Linked DNA regions of Mus musculus: all the other regions are reported to be linked to region 2. Evidence: microRNA targets listed by miRTarBase, many of them from high-throughput screens and not tested one by one. Region 2 holds a microRNA gene; each other region holds the end of a gene's coding sequence.

What was found. Region 2 holds the annotated microRNA mmu-miR-409-3p (GAAUGUUGCUCGGUGAACCCCU, at 2,112-2,133, shown strand). A microRNA usually pairs through its seed, bases 2 to 8, with sites in the 3' UTR of a target mRNA and lowers its output. Matches are read on the target gene's strand: a 7mer-m8 pairs with bases 2 to 8, a 7mer-A1 pairs with bases 2 to 7 and ends in A, and an 8mer does both.
Region 1: the mRNA of Sms is a reported target of mmu-miR-409-3p. Seed matches in the 3' UTR shown: 7mer-A1 at 590-596.
Region 3: the mRNA of Adgrf5 is a reported target of mmu-miR-409-3p. Seed matches in the 3' UTR shown: 7mer-A1 at 1,979-1,985.

The regions. Positions count from the first base shown.
Region 1 is chrX:157,443,398-157,446,397 of GRCm38, forward strand. Sms (spermine synthase) reads right to left here. Exons shown (of 11, transcript NM_009214.4): 11 at 454-2,779. The coding sequence ends at 2,740. Among named protein-coding and RNA genes, the nearest start is that of Gm24281, 14 kb to the left of the region's middle.
Region 2 is chr12:109,741,093-109,744,233 of GRCm38, forward strand. Mir409 (microRNA 409) reads left to right here and starts at 2,066; the gene lies at 2,066-2,144. Mirg (miRNA containing gene) reads left to right here. Exons shown (of 8, transcript NR_028265.1): 3 at 598-723; 4 at 970-1,198; 5 at 2,265-2,326; 6 at 2,574-2,755. Mir541 (microRNA 541) reads left to right here and starts at 1,317; the gene lies at 1,317-1,406. Mir412 (microRNA 412) reads left to right here and starts at 2,197; the gene lies at 2,197-2,276. It also overlaps Mir369 and Mir410.
Region 3 is chr17:43,454,855-43,457,854 of GRCm38, reverse strand. Adgrf5 (adhesion G protein-coupled receptor F5) reads right to left here. Exons shown (of 21, transcript NM_001081178.1): 21 at 1-2,599. The coding sequence ends at 2,520. Among named protein-coding and RNA genes, the nearest start is that of Gm25135, 2.1 kb to the right of the region's middle.

The sequences.
Region 1 (3,000 bases), not on the chromosome of region 2:
ATAACACTGCTGACCAATTGGCCTCTAGAATAGTATGCACCCCCCCAAAAAAAATATGCTGTCAGAGGAATGTTAAGTAGCTAGTTCCACAATGAAAACAAGTACTGTTGTCTTTTCTGAGCAAGTCTTACCAGAGAGAACCCCTCAGTGGCAATAAAGTGCTTTGAAAGGGGAGCTGTTGCCAGGGTGGTGGTGGTACACGCCTGTCATCCTAGTACTCAGGAGGCAGAGGCAGGTGGATTCCTGTGAGTTCGAGGCCAGCCTGGTTTACAGAGTTCCAGGACAGCTGGGGCTACACAGAGAGCCCTGTCTGAAAACAAACCAAAAAGAAAAAAGGAAGGAGAAAGAAAACAGAACTATCAGATGAACCACCAGTGTGAGCAGCTCAGAAAGAGGCCAAGCCAGAACATAACACATATTTTCCTTCCCTTTCCCAGGCATAATGGAGACGGGATGAAATTGATCCATTTATTGAGAGACAGATGACAGGCAGAAATACAAAGTCTTGTGTCAGCAATTGTTAGGGAAAGCAAGGACATGACTATTCCAAGTCTACAGGAAGAAGCAGCACATTTGTTTATTCAGATAGTAATGTTCTAGCCCACTAAAACCACCACCAACCCAGCCTTCCCCGGCCCAGGTGGAGCTCTTTTATAAATATTCAATCACATTTCCAAGAGAAAGCAGCATTTCATGTCTTAATAAATCAATTCTTAGTATCTGCTGTGTTGAACAGAATTTAAACTCTATCCATATTTGTTTTGTCTTTCATTAAAAAAAAAGCAGGACACCATAATATATTCCACTGTTAAAAGAATCTTTCACACTACATAACACTACAGTATTAAGAAAAACAACAAATCCATTAGCATTCCTTAAGAGGCAGCCAAAGCGAAGGTGGGTCGGAGTAGAGCACAGGGTAGGGTGGGTGTTGGTTCAGTTTGCATGCTTCGGTGTCAAAATAACAAGGGCTCAAAACGGAGACCCTCCTTCAGCAAATCAGTCACATCTGAGTTCACATTTATCACTCAAGATAAAAACCTCTTTCTTCCTCCTTTCCTCAACACCACTTCCTTCATTTTATCCCAAATGCATCTCATAACCAATTAGCCTCACATAACCTTATCCTCTTCATTTCTACCACCTGGTGCTTAGCAGGAACTGAGTCACCCGAATTATGAGTGGATCTGTGGTTATGGCCTCAAGTTACTCTTCACGGATCACGCAGGTCAGTCCCCTCATTAATATTACCCCAGCAGCTGATATACTTGCTTTCTTTACTTAAATGGTAACAAGAATTAAGCTGTGTGATGGTACAAGCTCAATTCTTGTGAGCTTCCAGGAAAGCCTAGGCTACATAATAAGCTCCAGGTTAGACTGGGCTACATACATACAGTCACTGTTTCAAAAGTAATCGTAAGAATAACAGTACAGTGGGTAAGGGGCAATTGGCCTTAGCTAATATTCTAACTGTAGCAGTACATTTGTTTTCAATTCTCCACAATATACAAAGTTTTCAAAGCACTGGGGAAGAATTTGGGTGGAGAAGTGTCTACTGGGCTGTTTTTACCCTATGCATGCACCAAAAATATTGTTAAATGCATCTAATTTGAACATAACTATCAACTCCTTTTATTCTCTATTGTTTCTTCTTCCATGTCAATCTAAAACAAATGGCATAGGTTTGCGCTCACTTTTAAAGATCATTTGTCTTGTCCTGTCTTATTTGTTCCTTCCTATCTTGGGAGGGACAATGAAACTTGAGCCTGATTTCCATTAGTAAATTTTCAATGTTTTACTTGCTGTAAAAAAAAATACCATTCTACTGATACAGTGTAAATATTTTACACAAACAATAGGATAGACAATTCAAATTATCCACAATACAATGCCAAGTTGCTATTCACATGCACTTTCTTAAGAGTTAAGTTATTTTGCCACAGGACTACATGAACTCTAGTGTGCACTTGCACATCCTACAGTCTTCTCAAAGGCCTTTGGATCTCTAATCAGGGAGAGCAGTAACAGAAATCATCTTTGACTTTCACCCTTTTCAGGCAGGCAAAAATCTTCTGCTATCCTTGGAACAACTTTATAATGGGGGGGCGGCAAATATAATAGGTTGTGGATCGTTCCTCAAGGCCTTGACATTATGCTGAGTGCAGTTAACAGTCTAGATAGAATACACCTTTGCCCTAGGCCATCAGAGGTAAGAAAGAGGAAGAGAGGCTGAAATAAAGGGACAAACACCGTAAGAGGTCTCCTTTGTCATTTTAATTGAAGCACTGCTAATCACTCTTTTAAAACCTTTAAAAGCACCAAATTTTAATATCTAAGTCAATTTGGGGGTGAGAGGGGAGAAACACTATCAGGAACTTCTCTCCAGAACAAAACAATGATGTTCATTCCTCCACATGTCCAAATTAAAGGTCTACTGAAACCAAAATGAAAACCCAAACCCCACACAGAGAAAAAAAAATACTAAAATCACATTCTAGGGGGTCAGTGCATTCTGCAGTCTTTGCTGGGCTGTCTAATTGTCCTTCGGCTGACTTTTTAAAATTAACATCCTAACTCATCAAAATATACATTTTTCCCATTGGCTTTTTTAAATTAAAAATAATAATTAAAAGTGAAAACCACTAGAAGGAATTCATGAGCAGTTGCCTGACACATTTGATGGCATATACGGCATATGGAGGTCAGGAAGGTGGCTCGCAGCACACGTCATTCTCATCTTTAAGGCTTAGCTTTCTTCCAAACAGTGTAAAACACCCACCTGGACGGGAAGTCAAGGAACAAGGCAGGTCAATAAGGAAGGACAGGTACCACTTACCAGATAAGCCTACAAATTAGAAGGCGGACTCTGATTTATGGGTTTAGGTACAGCACTGTGGGGACAGCACAAAAGTTTTTGAACAAGACCACTCTGTAGCATAGGACACCCGTGCTACATACCGCGTGGGACATCTGAAAGGGGGATTGAGTGAACAAAGACTA
Region 2 (3,141 bases):
TTTCATCCCGTTTACATTAAATAATAGTGATAAAATAATCACAAAATAACACCACAAACTACCAGAATAGCTTGGAGGAAAATGTGTTCAATTGACTACAAATTGGCAGAAGAATCCAATTTTCTTGACAACATTTGAGCTGCGACATTTGACCTGGGGAAACAGTACTCTGTAGACATGGCAGCCGCAAGGGGCAGCTTCAGTAGTGGCGGATGCTATGAGCAGTAATATTTGTGGTAGATGAACGCACATTGAGGAATCAAATCTTCGTTCAGATTTTTAAATGGGAAAGAATTGATCCTAATGAAAATGATTTGAGGAAATAACAAGGGAAATAAAAGAAATGAAAATGGCCCAACAGCACAGTCAAGGAAGCTAAACAGGGAATTGGATTAGTTTAATGGAATTTACTTTAAAAAAAAAAAAAGGAAAGAAATGCATGTTTTTTTATGAAAATCAATGTGGGTGTGGTGTTTGAGATGGGGAAATCTATGGATATAGACTAGAGCTAGTGGGGTGATAAGAAGGACTGGTCACCATGTGGGTTTTTTTTTTTAATGTGGCTAAACTTTATTTTCCCATCCCAAACCTTTACAGAGAGCTTCATGGAGTATTCAGAAGCTGGCGGGTGTCACCTGGAGGATGTGACTGGGTACCAGTGCCAGAGCACGTGCCCACTGAGCAGTCTTCTTCACTTTCCTCGATCCTCATGAAACATTCCGGGTAAGACACTGGTTCTGGGGAGTCTGCTCTTGCCGAGCAGTTGGTACCTGGAACATTCTAGGGCCTGCCCTTCCTTGGGTTTCCATGTTGCCAGCTCCCAGGGCTAGGCTTAAAGACGTACCCATTGTTGGTGCTGAAGGGCTAGGCCCGTACGGGAGGTCATTTTAGAGTGGATGTATCCAGGGTCTAATATACTATCTGGGGTGTGATGAGCACCAGGTTTCATGGTGGCTCTCTTTCCAAAAGGATCTTTACCTCAAAGGACTCCAGAGGCTACATCATTGTCTTGGAACTGGTCAGTGGCTGGAGCTCTCTCCAGGACAAGTGCTTGGAGGAAGAACCTGGACAAGCTTCCCTCCCCATACTGTTGACTGGATCTTGTAGCTACCGTTAGCCACCATCATCGCCATTGTGTGCCTCTTAGGAGCATTTCCAGGAGGTGATGCCAGCTGGGGAAAGAGCCTCTGTCCCACAGGTCAGTTTCCAGAACACCTACATGAAGCTGCCCGTGGCGTCTTTTCCCCGTATGACACACTGCATGTGACCAGTCTCTTGCTGCCCTGCAGCAAGGCTAGAAGCCTGTGTGAACTCTTGCCAAAATCAGAGAAGGGATTCTGATGTTGGTCACACTCCAAGAGTTTTAAAATGAGTGGCGAACACAGAATCCATACTCTGCTTATGGCCTAAGTCAATGGATCCTGACCCTTACTGGAGAGCCCTCCCTGGCGTGCTCGTGCGGGGCAGCCATACACACTGGCACAAGGGGACCCTGCGGGATCTCCTTCCGCTGTTCTTTCTCTCCTCCCTCCATGTTTATCTTTGAAGCATTACTTGCTTGGTTTATAGGACTGGATGGTCAAGCAGTTCTTGCTATGACATCACCGTGGGGGGAGGGGGCAGGTGACAGGGCGGGGATGCCAGGGTCGTGGGGCTGCAGTGGTTGGGTGGGCCCAAGGAGGAGCATCTCTGGATGATGCAGTCATTGCCTCCTCGCTTCTGGAAGGCATCGTCTCTGGGAGGGTGGTGTGGTATATGCGCAGGGTCTCAGCATCTCCCTATCTCCAGCTTACAAAGGAGAGATAGAGTAAGCAGAGTTCTGCACCCACTTCTGCCCCGAGTCAGCTCCTCGCTACCTGGGTCTCAAGGTTGTCTGGGAAGGCTTTAGATATTCTTGGAAGGTGAAAGGGTGGTAGATTGCACTGGGGAGGTGATGGAATAATTGCTTTCACGTGGTGGAGGGTGGCTCCTCACTGAATGGGGAGTTATAATCTCTGAGGGGCTCCAGGATGGTTCTTCTGGAAACTCAGCCATCGGCCTCGTTCTGAGCATCCGAGCCTCTCCGTGGTACTCGGAGAGAGGTTACCCGAGCAACTTTGCATCTGGAGGACGAATGTTGCTCGGTGAACCCCTTTTCGGTATCAAATCCCTCCAGGGAGGCCACCTCAGGGAAGACCATGGACTCATCTCGCTCTGGGGTATGGGACGGATGGTCGACCAGCTGGAAAGTAATTGTTTCTAATGTACTTCACCTGGTCCACTAGCCGTCGGTGCCCGCTGCAGCCTGCGCCCAGGATGTCACAGCCTCAGCTCAACACCTCTGCTGGTACTTGAAGGGAGATCGACCGTGTTATATTCGCTTGGCTGACTTCGAATAATACATGGTTGATCTTTTCTCAGTATCAACGCTCAGCTTGGAGAAGCTCTTGGAGTTGCAGCCCCTGTGGGGGTGGGGACAGCATGGTGCTTCTAGGTTGCTGCCTCCGCGGGGAACTGGGCTGGGTGGAACAGGCTGTGTGCTGCCTGTGTCAACCCTACTCACCATTTATATGCAATCCCCCCCTTCCCCCCAGGACAGCTTCAGGTGGTGATTCCAGCTCCAGGGTTGCTGCGGTCAACACTGGGTACTTGAGGAGAGGTTGTCTGTGATGAGTTCGCTTTATTAATGACGAATATAACACAGATGGCCTGTTTTCAATACCACCTGCCACTCCGGTCACTCGGCAGTACATACCAGGTGTCACACCACTGCCCGGTAGGTAAATGCATGGACTCTGTATGACGCTTGTCACCCCCTCTTCACTGAACCTCAGCTCTGAGGAGCCTCCTGGGATCGCACCAACCTTGTAGGCTGGGCCACGAAGCATTGGCCAGATGTGCAATGGATGGCTGTCCACTTTCCATGCCTCTTTCCCGCCACAACAATGGGTGTTTGTCCCTGTCTAAGGCTTCCACCGAGGGCTGCATGCTCAAATGCCCTGTACCCTGGGTGCTTCTCAATACCATGAGGGCTTGGAGGGGCTAGCATGATACTTAGGGAAGAGCCAGGCCAGTTGGTTACACGTGCAGTTCCTAGTATCTGAGGTGAGATTGCCCGTGACGGGTTTCCATTCTTAATGCTGGTACAGTGCATGGTCACCT
Region 3 (3,000 bases), not on the chromosome of region 2:
CTGTGGAGGATCTCCTTACAAGGTCAAGCCCCATGGCTCCCAAGAGGCACCAATGAAGTGGGCCAAAGCTCAGTGTACTTTGGATCTTTGCATTCTTGAGCACAACGGCCCCAGCCTCTCCTGGTGCTGAGCTTCCAAGACGTCCATGTTGCCTTGTTATACCATGCAAATCCCTCTGGCTTGATGCTCCTTAGTGCAACTCAAGGGGCTGAACATTCCTGGCCATTCTTTCTCTGGCACCTGATTCTGATCCAAAGGATGTCCCATCCTAGACGCCTCTTGTCTTCCCTCTACTGAACTCTGCTCTGCTTTGGAGACTCCCTGGAGATCTTATCCACATTTCCTGTGGATTCCTTTCCTGTAAGAACTTTAAATAATGAGCCATTAAATTGGGATAGGCGTGTGGTGTTTCTCACGCAAGTGTGGGAAGATGGCACTTAAGCAGAAACGGAACCCAAGGGACGGGACTTTGTATGCCCCACTCTGCCCTTCCGCTATGAAGAACGGAGAAGCAGAAATAGACTTCAAGCTTAGAACTAAGAGACTGAAAGTACCTAAAACTATGGATGTCAGACCTCAGACTCTTCTATCTTGTCTTTCCCAACGAAGGACCCACACAGTCTCTCACTCTATAAAAACTCAATGCTGCACGTCGGTCCTAAAGGGTCTGCAGCTTGTGGTTGTTTGGATGTGAATTGTCTCCCATAGGTCCACGTACCAGAACCCTCTGCCCCCAGTTGATGGTGCTGTTTGGGAAGATTATAGAACTTTTAGGAGGTGGAACCTGCCTAGAGGAAAGATGTCACTGTGTGAGGGCTTTGAGTTCTCATAGCCTGATCCCACTTCCAGACTGCTGAGGTGGTGGGTGTGATGGGCTGGCTTCATGCTCCTACAGCCGTGCTCTCCCTGCCGTAATGGGCTATATTCCGAAGGGTAAACCAAAACAAACCTTTTTCTCCCGTAAGTTGCTTTCATCCATGTGTCTTACTACAGCAATGAGAAGTTAACTGACACTGTTCCTTTGGGTTGACACCCTGATGTGGGGTGCATGCTTGCTCTTGGATATGGAACCTGGTGAGTTCTAACATGGATGCAGTTTTAATAAATATCTGTAATTTGAGAAACACACATACAAAAAAACCACACGGGCATAAATTCAGAATCTAATTCTTGGGGGTGGGGGTGGGGGATCTGCGATTTGCTTATCGAGCCAGGTCCTTTTTCTCCTTCCAAGTGGCTGCAAGAAACACCAATCAGACCATAGAAACTCTGAATGTATATTGGCCTAGGAACTTAGAAGGCTGGGAAGGGATAGAACACAGCAATACAGACAGCACACCAAGGGCTGTCATCACCACAGTCACAATGAAGTCACGAGTACAAAATAAAAATGTACATGCTACATAATTATTAAATCTATTCTACAATGCACAGAGAGTACCCGGTTAAAGCTGTTGTTACATGTACGACAGACGTAGGACTCTGAGCTCAGTGCGGTAGATCAAGTTTGTCAATTATGGGATTAAAATATGTACATATGCATGCATGGCTTTCAAAAGGCTGAACAAATTAGCATACAATGCGTATCTGACAGATCATGAGAGATGAACCTTTCTTGAATCTTACAGAGTGGCTGTCATACGTGCTCTGCATGTTCACTGTGCTTTGCTCAGACCTTGACATACAAAGGTTCATATGTGTCCTTGTCATGAGAACTGTGTCTCCTTGGGTGCATTGCCTGCAAATATTATTATCCAGCCAGAAGCATCCTCGTGCCGACTCTTCCTTTCTACTTTCTTTTCTACTTTCCCGCCTCTCTCTTTTATCCTTTTAGCTGGGAAAGATCAGGAACTTGCTAACTATATCCCCCATGACTTCATTTCATTTTGTTTTTGAGCCATATATTTTCATTCTCGGAGCTGTGGCAGATGAGTGGCCATATTAGAGCACAACTGTGGAAACCTTAAAATGTGCTCCCTAATGTTTTCTACATTTTCCTTCCTTCCTTCCTTCCTTCCTTCCTTCCTTCCTTCCTTCCTTCCTTCCATTCTATCATCTTTCCTCCTTCCTGCTTATCTCCCTCATTCCCTCCATCTTTCCTTCCTTCCTTGAAGTCACTGAACTCCTGGATACTAGCCTTTTACTTACTGTTTCAATCAACTCTTATCTTTGTAGCCAATGGTGTGAGTGTGTGTTTGGGGGGGTGTGTGTATAAAAATCTCCTCAAAATTCTATTTTACAGTACATAGAGAAAAGTTGAGCCTTGTGGGGAGGGTTCTTTTAAATACTATACATAGTTGGCATTACACATGGGATAGGGCTAGGAGCAAAAATAAACATGGCCTTTGCTTTTAGTCTGTCTTTACAAAAGAAAACATCTTCTCTATTGAAAGAGTCTCTTCAGCATCTGCTCCCAGAAGTCTGCAGAGAGAGCACGTTACCCATAGATTTGGATGGGTCTCTTTTCCTGCCACGGACCCTGTTTCGGAGAGGGCCTGTGGATTTGGCTTTGTCTGGTCCTAGTTGAGCAGTGAGTAAGCACTAGAGGAATTTTCCAGGGATGAACTGGTTGTCTCTGGGGTGGAAACGTTATATGTTCCTGCAAACGAAACCAAAACAAAACAGCATCTCAGCTTCTAAGACAACGGCACTTTGAAGGAGAAACATCATCTAAGGAGCGAAGATGAGCTCCGGGCGCAGCAGCCATGCCTGGAAACCAACCCACGCCTGCCCTCTTCCCTAACCCAACGTGCCGGAGAACAAACCGCGGAAGTGCTGTCCTCGAGCATGCGCAGCAGCCACCAAGCGCTAACTACACCACACACCAGCAGTCAGATTTTCACACCGGGCAAGATCTCAGTGTAGGAAGTCTCTCCATAAGCCCCCACATGCAGGGACCTGGGGGCTTCTACACAAGGAAAACCTTCTTGGTCCCCTGGCTTATTTTGACTTGGGGACATCCTTAGGAAGGAACAAACCATTGAGCGGAAGGTTCATAAA